Regions from separate parts of the Mus musculus genome. Here regions 2 and 3 are each reported to be linked to region 1. Evidence: microRNA targets listed by miRTarBase, many of them from high-throughput screens and not tested one by one. Region 1 holds a microRNA gene; each other region holds the end of a gene's coding sequence.

The links. Region 1 holds the annotated microRNA mmu-let-7e-5p (UGAGGUAGGAGGUUGUAUAGUU, at 2,262-2,283, shown strand). A microRNA usually pairs through its seed, bases 2 to 8, with sites in the 3' UTR of a target mRNA and lowers its output. Matches are read on the target gene's strand: a 7mer-m8 pairs with bases 2 to 8, a 7mer-A1 pairs with bases 2 to 7 and ends in A, and an 8mer does both.
Region 2: miRTarBase lists Nup214 as a target of mmu-let-7e-5p. Seed matches in the 3' UTR shown: 7mer-m8 at 1,391-1,397.
Region 3: miRTarBase lists Il13 as a target of mmu-let-7e-5p. Seed matches in the 3' UTR shown: 8mer at 721-728.

Annotation. Positions count from the first base shown.
Region 1 is chr17:17,828,105-17,832,243 of GRCm38, forward strand. Mirlet7e (microRNA let7e) reads left to right here and starts at 2,248; the gene lies at 2,248-2,340. It overlaps Spaca6 (sperm acrosome associated 6), which reads left to right and starts at 2,871. Exons shown (of 9, transcript NM_001162909.1): 1 at 2,871-3,158; 2 at 3,955-4,035. The coding sequence starts at 2,900. Mir99b (microRNA 99b) reads left to right here and starts at 2,084; the gene lies at 2,084-2,153. Mir125a (microRNA 125a) reads left to right here and starts at 2,708; the gene lies at 2,708-2,775.
Region 2 is chr2:32,051,756-32,055,894 of GRCm38, forward strand. Nup214 (nucleoporin 214) reads left to right here. Exons shown (of 36, transcript NM_172268.2): 35 at 19-43; 36 at 364-2,220. The coding sequence ends at 397. It also overlaps a transcript of Fam78a not described here. Among named protein-coding and RNA genes, the nearest start is that of Mir7674, 2.9 kb to the left of the region's middle.
Region 3 is chr11:53,628,198-53,632,336 of GRCm38, reverse strand. Il13 (interleukin 13) reads left to right here. Exons shown (of 4, transcript NM_008355.3): 4 at 177-1,014. The coding sequence ends at 272. Among named protein-coding and RNA genes, the nearest start is that of Il13, 4.4 kb to the left of the region's middle.

The DNA of each region.
Region 1 (4,139 bases):
TCCAGCCATCACCTCCTGCACATAAGCATAGGCCAACCCCAATCCCCTCCTCCTTCAGAACCCAAGAGTCAGGGCCCCAGACATTTTTCTTCTTCTCTGCCTGGACTGGGGCATAGGTGGGGGGCTCCTTCCTGAGAACCAGGTTTCCCCCACCCCTTTTAGCCCCAGCTGGAGTCCAGCCCTCCAGGGGTTAAGGGGGCGGGACCAGTTGGTTGCTATGGTGCCAGACTGTTTGGGTCTGCTCTCTGACCCTTGGGGGCTCCCTAGGGTCTGCAAAGAGGGGGAGGGGACCCATGCCCAGGGAGAAGTCGAGCGCCTACCCCTTCCTCAAAGCAAGCCTGTGAACCCAAGGGAGATGCACCCAAGCCTGGGGCAGTGACCTTGAACCAGTTCGGAACCTTCTCTGTGAGCCTCAGTTGGCCCTCTGAAGAGAAACTTGCAGGGTGTGTGGAGAGATGTTCAGGGCTGGAGAATCTTAAAGATTCTCCCTTCCCTGCTTTCCCTCACCGCCCCCCCCCCCTCAGGCCCCAGGCAGCCCCGGGGCATGCTGGGAACCCAGGCCTGGGCTCTGAGCCAGGTTGGTTGGGGGGGGGTGGGGGGGCTCCTCCCTTCCCCTTCCTCCCCACCTTGGCCTGACTCTCGCCCCCGCCTGAGGGTCTGGGAGGTTGGGAAGGAGGGAAAGGAGGACTTGAGCTCAGGCCGAAGACTGGTCTCAGGTCCCCCGCCTCCTCTTTTGCTTCTCCGCCCTCTTCCCGCCTCTCCTCCCCCTCCTCAGCAGGTCGCTACCCCGGCCCAGGGCCCCTTCTCAACCCACCCCCACTCCATCCCCACTCCACCCCCATTTCCAGACCTGGCTCCGAGCAGCAAGGGGGAGGGAGAGAGAGAAGAGAGAGAGGGAAGGAGAAAGGGAGAAGAATGGGGGGAGGGGATGGAGAAGAGGGAAGGAGAAAAGAGAGAGAGAAAGGGAGAGACCCCGGGAGGAGACTGGAAGATGGGAGGAGGGTAGAAGCTAGACTAAATAAAAAAGCAGGGAGGAGAAAAAGAGAGGGAGATAGGAATCCAGAGAAAAAGAGAGACAAAGCCAGGGAAGGAAATGAAAGAAGATTGTGAAAAAGAGGAAGAGACTTGAGAAGTAGATATAGAAGATAGGAGGTGAGGAAGAGAGGTGAATGTAAAGAGGGTCAGCTAGAACAGAGACAGCGGGAGGAGCAGGCATTCAGATATGGGCGAAGAGGAAAACCTCATCAGGGATGATACAAACAGAGAAAGAAAGGGAGAATAAGAAAAGAGCAAGGTAAGAAAAAATGGGTGGAGAGAAAGAAACAAGAAGACGGACATGGAACCTGGGAGCCCCAGAAGACCAGTTCTGTGCTCAGAGCCTCAGGGTGGGTGCAGGTCCTAGGGCTCCTCCCACCTGCCGACAACTGACTTTGGTCTAGTGGCTTCCCCTCTGGGGGCTCCTGTGTGCTGGGAGCGACCTCATTTCTGAGTTGGGAGGTGTTGAGGAGACAGGGTCCTGGTTGGTGTCATTATTCCTTGACCATAGCTATCACCCCAAAGGTTGAGAATGGTTTTGGAAAAGATAGGATTATTCCATGAGACCCATGAGGACTTCTGATACTCAGAAGGCCTTTAACTCAGGCCTGGGATATGAAACCTTTAGGGGTTACAGAAGGGGCTCAGATTGCCAAGACAAACGGGGATACATCCTTTCTGCAGTGCAGAAGTCAGGTCTCTAACCAGATTGTCTTCTCTAAGGGATGTGCCTGGTTGGACCCTGAGTCTGCCGGGGAGGGCTATGGGGTGGAGGAGAACTGTGAGGGTTAGGGACTGAGTCCCTGGGTCTGGACTGAGGAGAATTGAGTGCAAGGCGGCAGGGTCTGCTTCCCTGGATCTGTGGGAGGGAGGGCTGTGACCACTACCCCTTAGTCTAAGGGAGGAAGCTTTGGGACTGAGGGAGGAGGGCTGAGGTCTGGATCTCTGGCCTTGAAAGAGGGGGGCTGGGGCTTAGATTTTGGGGCTGGGACTGAATTCCTGGGTTCCTTGGGGAGGAGGGGGCCGGGGGCCCGGACTCCTGGGTCCTGGCACCCACCCGTAGAACCGACCTTGCGGGGCCTTCGCCGCACACAAGCTCGTGTCTGTGGGTCCGTGTCGGGGGCTCACCATCGCGGCTGGGACCTCCCCGGCCCTCCCCACCCTCCCTACTTCTGGTCTCCCATCAATCCATCTGTCAATCTGCCCACCTGCCGCGCCCCCCGGGCTGAGGTAGGAGGTTGTATAGTTGAGGAAGACACCCGAGGAGATCACTATACGGCCTCCTAGCTTTCCCCAGGCTGCGCCCTGCACTGGAAGGGGCCGGCGGGGACCCCAGGTCCACACCATTGCCCAAGAGTTCTTGATAGGAGCTGGGGTGTCTTCTCTGTTCACATTCTATCCTATCCCTTTTCTTTGCAGTCTCTATGCCATCTTGAGATTTTCGAATTTTCTGTCTCTGTCTCTTATGCCAATGTCTCTAGGGTTCTAGAAGCTTCTGTTTCTCTAGTGCTGTGAATGTATCTCTGTGACACTGGGTTTCTGAGCTTTTTGAGGCATCTCCTGGTTCCTTTCTATCTTCTGGGGCTTAGGGTATCTGTTTCTGTCTCGCTTCCCCGTTCCCACCTCTGGGGAAAAGGGTTTTTCTGGTCCACCATAGCTACACTGCCGGCCTCTGGGTCCCTGAGACCCTTTAACCTGTGAGGACGTCCAGGGTCACAGGTGAGGTTCTTGGGAGCCTGGCGCCTGGCCCAGCCACAAATTTAGGGATTTCAGGTGACCCCTGGCAACCTTCCTCTAGCTGGAGCCTGATGCTTGACCATCATTTGAAACTCAATCTCTGATCACAGGCTCCCCCTCCCCCACAATGACCTCACAAAGGTCACTATCTTCTCCTCAGACCCGGAGACCCTCTGTTATGGGTCTTATTTCCTTAGTAGGGAGCATTGTCCTGTTGTTCCTGCTGATCTTCAGGGCATCCACGTGGGCCTGTCTCTTCTGCTTCACTACCTATGAGGAACGCCTCCGTGTCTGCCAGCTGTTTGTGGGCAGAGAGGAAACCAAGATAAACCTGTGCAGAAATGAGCTTGAAGGGGCTTTTGAAGATCTCAAAGACATGAAAATCAGTGAGGAGCCCCTCCTTCCTGAACCAGGGCCCTGGGGAGGGGAAGGAGATTCCTTGAGCTACTCCAAGAAGAAAAGCCAAGTACAGGATCATGACATAGACACAGAGAAGAGAGACAGGTGGAAACAATGGAAGGAAACAGGTCCAGAGTGGGGTGGAGACAGACAAAACAGTGCCTCAGAGAGAGTCTAAAGACAGTAAGGGAAAGAGATGGAAAAGTAGAAGCATTGCTCAGAGAGAGGATATGGATTGGGAACACAGATGAGTGGGGAGATTAGAGACCTGGAGAGAGGGACAGAGAGCTAGGAATCAATCCAGAGAGATGAGAGACACACAGAGAGTAAGGTACATAGAGATAAGACAGGAACAGAGTCCCAAAGTGAGGGACATAGGTATAGATACAGAGAGTAGTTTCAGGAAGAATAGAGAGACAGTGATCTAGAGATAGGTGGGACAGAGACCAATGGGGTTGGAGTAAAGATGTAGATGAGGAAGCAGATCCAGGGTACCAGGTAACAGGCCTAGAGAGAGAGAGATTAGATGGATGGAGAGATACCAAGATTGAAGGTTTAGGTTAGGGTTAGGGAAACACACACACACACACACACACACACACACACACACACAGAGAGAGAGAGAGAGAGAGAGAGAGAGAGCTCTAGGTGGGGCACATAGAACAATAGACTGGGGCTATAGAATCTGGGATGATCACAGGGCTTGGAGATATTCAGCCATGAGTGGGACATAGAGAACACCATGGAACCAGGTTTGTGCCATGGTGTCTCATCTACCTTCAGACTATGATGAGAGGAGCTACCTGCATGATGAATTTACACAGATGACAGTTTCTCTTCAGGAGAAGGCTGCTAGACGACGGGGTGAGTGTTTTATGGGCATAAGTGGTGGGGAAAGTCATCTTGAGGAAGTGACCCTGGGAACCTGTCTGAGTTAGGTTATTTGTTGAGGAAACTCCAGAGATGAG
Region 2 (4,139 bases), not on the chromosome of region 1:
CTCCTTTCTGTGTTTCAGCCTTCACCTTTGGATCATCTAACTCGTAAGTACTTGTCTGCCCTGTGGTCTGCCCTCACTTAACTCAGTCAAATGGCCCAGGGAGGGGGAAGTCTCGGCCATGCTGGACTTGTGTGATGTGCTGTTTCTGTTTGCAGAGCCAGGCTAAAGAGCCAGGTTAGCAGCAGGTGTTGGGTTTAGGGCTGCCGGCCTGCGGGAGGCTGAGTAAGAGATGATTGGCCTTCCCGGCAGCAGGGCGTGGAGACACTTGCCTCATTTCTGTGGTGGTGTCTCCAGCTGCCTGCTACTGAAGGCTCCAGGCCCAACTCGAGGCTTGTGTGTTGATCCTCTCTGCACTTCTTGCAGGTCTGTCCAGGGCTTCGGTGGCTGGAGAAGCTGAGCTGATGTCAGCATTCCCTCAAGTTCCTGTGAGCTCCTGTGCGCATCCCTCCACAGCAACAGACTGTCAAAAGAACTTTCTCATGAAAACGCTCAGCCAGGAAGAAACACTGGAGACCAAAGCTCAGCAATGCTTAACTAACTGCCTGTTCCCCGCTTTCAAATTTTACATCAAGTTTTTCGTCTGCTATTAAAGTGTTTGGTCTGGTTCTGCACAGAACATCTGGGTATTTATTTGGGTCACAGCCAGAGACATTCCTATGGCTTGAGGAAACCAAGCCAGTGGTCTCTGCCCAGTGGCATTCTGAGTAGAGCCCCTCTACATGGAAAAGAGCAGAATGTGGCAGACACCTCCCCACGTTAATGTCTATGCCACATGTTCTGTGGTTCCATGTCAGGCTCCTGTGAGGGCCCCTTCCTTCACAGCCAGTTCTAAGACAGGTATGGCAAACAGACCAGGGAGGCAGCCGCTGAGCTGCCTGTCACCTGCCACCCTGTCTCTGCTCCTGCATGCTCTGCATCTGCTGCCAGTTCCCAGTGCAGAGGCAGTCTGCTGATCGTCTCCATACACAGCATTTGCAGACCTACAAACACCACGTCCTTCCTTCACTGTTTGGAACCCACGACTTACGGGGACATCAACAAGTCGCTGCAGGCTTGGACAGTGTGCGAATCCATTTTAGACATGCTTCTTTCTCTGGGTGCGTTAGCTTTGAGGGCCTGGCATGTTCTGCTCCTTGGGCTGTGGAGTCCTGTGCTACCAAAGCCTCTGCAGAGACCATCTGTCACCTTTCAGGTTCACAACATGGCACTGCTCTGGACTGGGTCAAGGGCAGAGGGAAGAGCTGTGGGTTGGGGTTTGTCATACTGGAAAGGTTTTGGTTCCTTTGTTGTTCAGGGGTTGTTCTTGTTTTTGAGACAGGGCTTCCCTGTGTAGCTGGCTGTCCTGGAACTTGCTCTGTAGACCAGGCTGGCCTTGAACTCAGAGAACTGCCTACCTCTGTCTCCTGAGTGCTGGGATTAAAGGCATGCCCACTACCACCTTGCTAAGATGCTGTTTTGTAATGCTTTAAGGTCATGGTGCAGTCAGTGTGACTGTGGTCCTATTGGCTTTTGTGTCCCCCATGCCACAGCTTGCTCAGGTGTGCCCTTATGTCTCAGCCTTGGCCTCAGACAGGGAGTTCAAGCCTCCATCCATCCTTATTCAGGGGAAGAACATGACCATCAGGGATGGGCGCTCCCCCAGAGTGTTCAGTGGCTTCTTATCATCTCAAGAGGAATCTGCCCTGCTGGGTTCCTAACCAGCCATCACCAGAGCCAAGACAAGACCTAGAATTAGGCACAGGGTCCACCCGGACTGTCACCCATTCTCTGTGCCACAGAGACTTGTCTGCATGCTTCACTCATTAGGGGCTCTGCCTCTTCTGAGGAGCTGGAGCCTTGAGAGCCTCAGTGTGGCCTCCTTTTGGTCCTTTGGGAATTGAAGAGCCAGGCACCGCTTGAGGCCCCTCTGCCCGGAAGCAGGTCTGTCTCTCCGTATGCTTGGAACTTTGCCGACCAGGTCTCTCAGACCAAGGGATCGCCAGGCTTCTTTTTGTGTCAGGGTCTCACTCTGCAGCCCTGGCTGGCTTCAAACTCTCTGATCCACCCTTTCCGATATATATCAAGTGCTGGGAAGAAAGGCACTTGCTCCAGGCTTTCTGGGTTTGATGGGGAACATTCATGGATGAGGACTATAACTGGGTAAAGAGAGGGAAGAGCCCGTTTTGTTACCTGAAGAGGAAGACTGAGATTAAAAATGGAAATGAAGGAGTTAGTGAACTGAGAAAATTCAACTGAGGTAATTTCCAAGGGTGCCATAGTCCTGCTTCAAGCATTGAGTTGTTACACTTGACAAAGCAGCAGGACAGAGATCAGGTGGCGGGGGGCGGGGGGGGGGTCCTCCTTCAGGCAAGAGGGTCTGTAGGTACTTCCTGCTGTCAGTGGACTTCAGCCAGCCACAGAGGTGAGGGGAGGTGACACACCCAATTGTGTGATCAGATTATATATATATCTTATAAAGTAGGTGCCCAGAGAAAGCTTAATATTTTTTTTAAAGATTTATTTATTTATTTATTATATGTAAGTACACTGTAGCTGTCTTCAGACACTCCAGAAGAGGGCGTCAGATCTTGTTACAGATGGTTGTGAGCCACCATGTGGTTGCTGGGATTTGAACTCGGGACCTTCGGAAGAGCAGTCGGGTGCTCTTACCCACTGAGCCATCTCACGAGCCCGAGAAAGCTTAATATTAAACTCACATCTCTCATTGACAATTCTAGAATGACAGGAACTCACCAACCACAATAACCATGGCCAAGGGAGTGAGGATGCCTTGGGGACTCACTCCTTTCACAGTTAGTGTTGGCCAGCTTTTCAGGCTGGCCGACCACACCTGTCCTGACGCCCTGCATGCTGAAGGCAGGCTGGAGGGCCCACAGTAGCTCTGCCCCATCAGAGCCTCAACTTGGAACAGTTCTGAGCACAGACCTACGCCTCTTACCAAATCCCTGTGTGCTTATGGGGGGGAGGGGGGGCATACTGCTGACCATGGGTCAGGAGTCCACACTTCCCCCTAAAGTGAGAATCTGTGGAAGCATACTCAATGTCACAAGATCCAGTCCTGTACATGGGAATGACAGTCACCACCACTGAGTTCTAGCTCAATGCAAGTGCTCTCAGGTACTGTCATTGCTCAGGCCCGGCCACCTGCTGGGCAGCATCCTACCCCTCACTACTACTCTGGAGGCTGAATTCTAGCCAGAGCTGCTGAGGCTCAGTGCTGAGTTAGTTGGTCTCCATGGTCCACACCCTCCCTGCGGTGCCGGAGACCTGACCCAGAAACTTCTGTGGAGGCTGCCGAAATAGCAAAAGCAAGGCAGCAGGGAAGCCCTGAGACAGGTTCAGCCACTGTGCACATGTGTGCACAGGGAAAGAGCTCCTGGACTTAATGGGAGTCTGTCTCTGAGAAACCAAACGATGGCCTCTACCACTGTGACCACCTGAAGCACTAACTTCATTTTACATCTGGGAAAGCAAAACAGACCATGATGAGAGAGCTTAGAAAAATCCGTTTTCTCCCTCCTCCTCAAGCTCCATGAAGCCCAGCTCCCTCCCAGCCCAGCATCCTGAACTTCAATGGGACATGCACTGAGCTGCTGGCTCGACCTGGCCACCTATCAATGTAATCCACCCCAAAAAAAGAGCTAGAGGGGGCTGACAGCAGCAGCACATTCCTCCTGTGCCTCACTAAGCACGACAGTAAGTGCTGGAGTGTTTTCTGGCAGAGCACAGCTGATACGGCCTATGGAGCGATGTCAAATGCTGTCTCAATGGAGGATTAGTGTGGAGAATTTGAGGTCAAGGGTTTAGGCTGAACTGCCTTCTATGTATAGAAAGGAGCCTGTAAGGGAATACAAGGGCAGATGAAAGCCTTGGCTGGGTGGGGGTAGACAGGATGACATGCCAAGGCAGAACAGAGCTAGTTACCCAGTTACATAGACCTCCTGTGAGCTTCCCTATCACAACTGCAGTCCCCTTGGTCTGAGAGACCTGGTCGGCAAAGTTTCAAGCATATGGAGAGACAGACCTGCTTCCGGGCAGAGGGGCCTCAAGCGGTGCCTGGCTCTTCAATTCCCAAAGGACCAAAAGGAGCCCACACTGAGGCTCTCAAGGCTCCAGCTCCTCAGAAGAGGCAGAGCCCC
Region 3 (4,139 bases), not on the chromosome of region 1:
AACCTTCACCTGAACCTCAGTATTCACAGTTGTAAAGTAGAGGCAGAGCCAGAAGCCACCTGGCAGGGACTTTTGGTAGCATCGTAAGGGCCTGTCCCTGGAAAGCCCCTGCTGAATGCCAACTGTTCTTGACCTTGGCGTCCCTCTAATGGATGGGCTTCTCTGCCGTTTCACAGGTCTCCAGCCTCCCCGATACCAAAATCGAAGTAGCCCACTTTATAACAAAACTGCTCAGCTACACAAAGCAACTGTTTCGCCACGGCCCCTTCTAATGAGGAGAGACCATCCCTGGGCATCTCAGCTGTGGACTCATTTTCCTTTCTCACATCAGACTTTGCTGGGGAGAGGCAGGGAGGAGGGTTGAGGAGGAAGGGAGATGCCTCAGCTTTGGCCTCAGCCTGCACTGCCTGCCTAGTGCTCAGGGTCTCAGCCTGGCAACACCCCCACCCCACCCCCACCCCCGCCGCCCCATCCCATCCCTACAGAAAACTGCAGCAAGACCGTGAGTCCAGCCTGTGGCCTGGTCCACACAGGGCAACTGAGGCAGGCAGCAGCTTGAGCACATTTCTTCTTGATCTTATTTATTATGGTTGTGTGTTATTTAAATGAGTCTGTCAGTATCCCGGTGGGGACATGGTTTGCTGCCTATGCCCTGGGGGCTCCAGCATTGAAGCAGTGGGCTCTGGGGTCCCTGGCAATATTACTGTATACATAACTCTGCTACCTCACTGTAGCCTCCAGGTCTCACCCCAGGCAGGAGATGGGAGGGGAGGCCAGAGCAACACTCCTGTCTGCCACGGCAGCAACCAGCCCTCAGCCATGAAATAACTTATTGTTTTGTTCTTATATTTAAAGTATTAAATAGCTTAGCAAAGAGTTAATAATATATGGAAGAATGGCCTGTTACACTCAAGGTGATGTGTAGTGAATGGGGGGAGGGTGGTGGGTTTGTCACTGAACAAACTTTTCATTGACTGTCAAACTAGAAACCGGAAATAAAGATGGTGACAGATAGGCCTGCCTGCTTTGGCTGTCTTTTTTTGGGGGGCCCTGGGGGATGCTGCTCTGTGGGCTCCAAACTGAGGAGCCCAGTGTGGGGTAGGCTGCTCAAAGGAGAGATAGGAGGAGTGATGAGCAGGACCTGGGCTGAGAGAGAGTAAGTCCTCTGGTCTGTGGCCGACCGAGGAGACACGCCCCCTGTCTACTGTGGGGGATCCGGGGGAGCTTGGGCCAGGAAATGTCTGGGGCAAGCGGGGAACCTCTTGGGTATCTCCTGATGACTGGCCAGCTTTGTCTGTACCACCCACACAGTCTCAGGTCTCCCTTGCCACCCTAGGAGGGCACATAAGAGCCCGAGGCATGGGCTGGAGAGATGGCTCAGTGGTTAGGAGCACTGACTGAGCCAGGCAGTGGTAGCACACGCCTTTAATCCCAGCAGATGCAGATACAGATGCAGGCGGATTTCTGAGTTCGAGGCCAGCTTGGTCTACAGAGTGAGTTCCAGGACAGCCAGGGATACACAGAGAAACCCTGTCACCACAAAACAAAAAAACAAAACAACAACATCAACAAAAAGAGCCCGAGGCATGATGCGGGCAGGAGGCTCGTCCAAGGCATGTACTGGGAGGAAATAAAGGCTACATTCTGCCTCCTCTTTCAAAAGTCACCCGCCTAAATGCATGGCTCTTTCCAGTATACTGCCTGTTTGGATGTCCCCTGGTGATGAGACATTCACCACTTACTTTCTAAGGACAAACTGTTCAGTTTTGTACGCTGGGATGGACCAGATACATGTGGGGACTAGGGTAGACAGACATGGAAGACAGCACCTCAGAGCAGGTGGCCTGCCTCTCCCTTGCTGGCCCGCAAGCTGGAGTGTTGGGAACGGCTGCATCAGTAAGCGCTAGCTAACATGATGTCTGGTGGCATCCTTGGGAGGTGCTGCCCAGAGCGGAAAGCCACTGAGAAGGGCAGGAAACTTGTGTGGCAGGCGTGGGGTGGGGGTCAGGGACCGCTCAAACTCTGAATGACAGCAGGAGCCCTCCTGGAACAGGCCAGATCTGAGATTCCAGTACTCAAAGTTGCATGTCAACCCAGCAACACCAGATGACATGGCAGCAACTTAGCCAACGCATGGGGAATAGTCTCCCCTTCCTGCCTCACAGCTGACAAAGAAGAGAGGCAGAAGAGACCAAGCAATAGCGCCCAGAGCCAGCTACTCTGCAAGAAAGGGAATATGGATAGCAGGGCAGGACTGGCTTCCAGTCCTGCCAGAGAGGTCACCTTTTCTGAGGACTATCTGTGCTGGCACAGCACCGGCCACCCAGATTGAGTACTGAAGGACATGGTGCCAGACAGAACTTACAAAGGCAGGGAAGAGGATGTCTCCTCCATCTTTCCTGCTGGGAGCCCTGCTGGAGAGTTCGGGGTGAGCAGTGGCCTTCTCTCCTCCTTCTCTACCCATGGTCTAAAATCAAAGATTAAATGGACCATTTTTTGTTGGTTTTTTGCTTTTGTTGTTGTTTTGGGTTTTTTTTGTTTTGTTTTTTTGTTTTCTTGGGGTTTTTTTTGTTTGTTTGTTTTTTGGTTTTTGGTTTTTTTTGAGACAAGAGTTTCTCTCTGTGGCCCTGCCTATTCTGAGACTTGATATGTAGACCAGGCTGGCCTCAAACTCGTATTCACCTGCCTCTACCTCCCCAGTGCTGATATTAAAGATGTGCGCCACACTGACCAGCTTGCTTTGCTATTTTTAAAAAAGGGTGAAATGTGTATGTGTGTGCGCCCATGTATGTACATGTATGTGCATGTGTGAGTGTGCATGTGTGTGTGACTGTGTATGCATATACATATACATGTGTGTATGAGTGTGTGTGTGTATGTGTGTGTGACTGTGTATGCATATATATATACATGTGTGTATGAGTGTGTGTGTGTATGTGTGTGTACCCATGTATGTACATGTATGTGCATGTGTGAGTGTGCATGTGTGTGTGACTGTGTGCATGTGTATACATGTGTGTGTGTGTGTGTGTGTGTGTGTGTGCGTGCGCACTCGTGTAGATAAGCTAGAGGACAACCTTGGGTGTTATCCTCAGGAGCCGTCTACCTGCTCTCTATATGTCTCTCACTCACTGATCTAGAACTTTTCTTATTAGGCTATGCTGGCTGGTCAGCAACCCCCAAAGATCCTTTAACTTCTGCCTCCCCCGTGCTGAAGTTCCGAGTGTGCACCCCCTGCCCTTTTCCTCATGCTTTCAAGGCAAGCTTTTTACCCACTGAACCCTCTCTCCAGGCCCCAAGAACAATATTTCTCAAAAATATTTCTGTGAATAGATTATAGCTTCATCTTTACCCAGGTCCCCTAACTGGCCAAAGTGTCAGCCTGTCTGTCTGAAATAAGGGACATGGTTCAGGGGGATAAAAAGCTCTTGCTATTCAAGCCTGATGACCTATGCTCAATGTCTGGAACTTGTACAAAAGGTCAGACACAGGAAGAGCAACTGGAATGCCAGTGCTCTTACAGTAATACAGGAGATGGAGACAGGAGAATTGCCCTGAAACCCATGGAACAGCTGTCCCTCAAGAAACAGGAAGAAACAGGGTTGGAGAGATGGCTCAGAGCCATCTGGTTAAGAGCACTGGCTAATCTTCTGGAGACCCTAGGTTTAATGCCTAGCCCTCACAAGACTATAATTCTAGTCCCAGAGGATCTGACGCCCTCTCGTAGCCTCCACGGGTATTGCACACACATGGTGCACAGAGGTATACATGCAGGCAAACCCTTATCATGTAAGATAAGAAAATACAATCTCAACTGGGCATGGTGTCACACACCTTTAATCCCAGCACTCAGAAAGCAGAGGCAGGCAGATCTCTGTGAGTTTGAGGTCAGTCTGATTTGTAAAGTTGAGTTCAACAACATCCAAGGCTGTTTCACAGAGAAACCCTGTCTTGAACTCCACCTCAAAAAAAAAAAAAAAAAAAAAAGTAAGGTCAAAAGCAAGAACCAAAAGTTGTTCTTTGACCTCCATCCATACGTATGGAGCTGCACAGGTGCACATGCGTTTAAACGTTTGTGTATACACAGACACATAGACATAAACACACACACACACACACACACACACACACACACACAC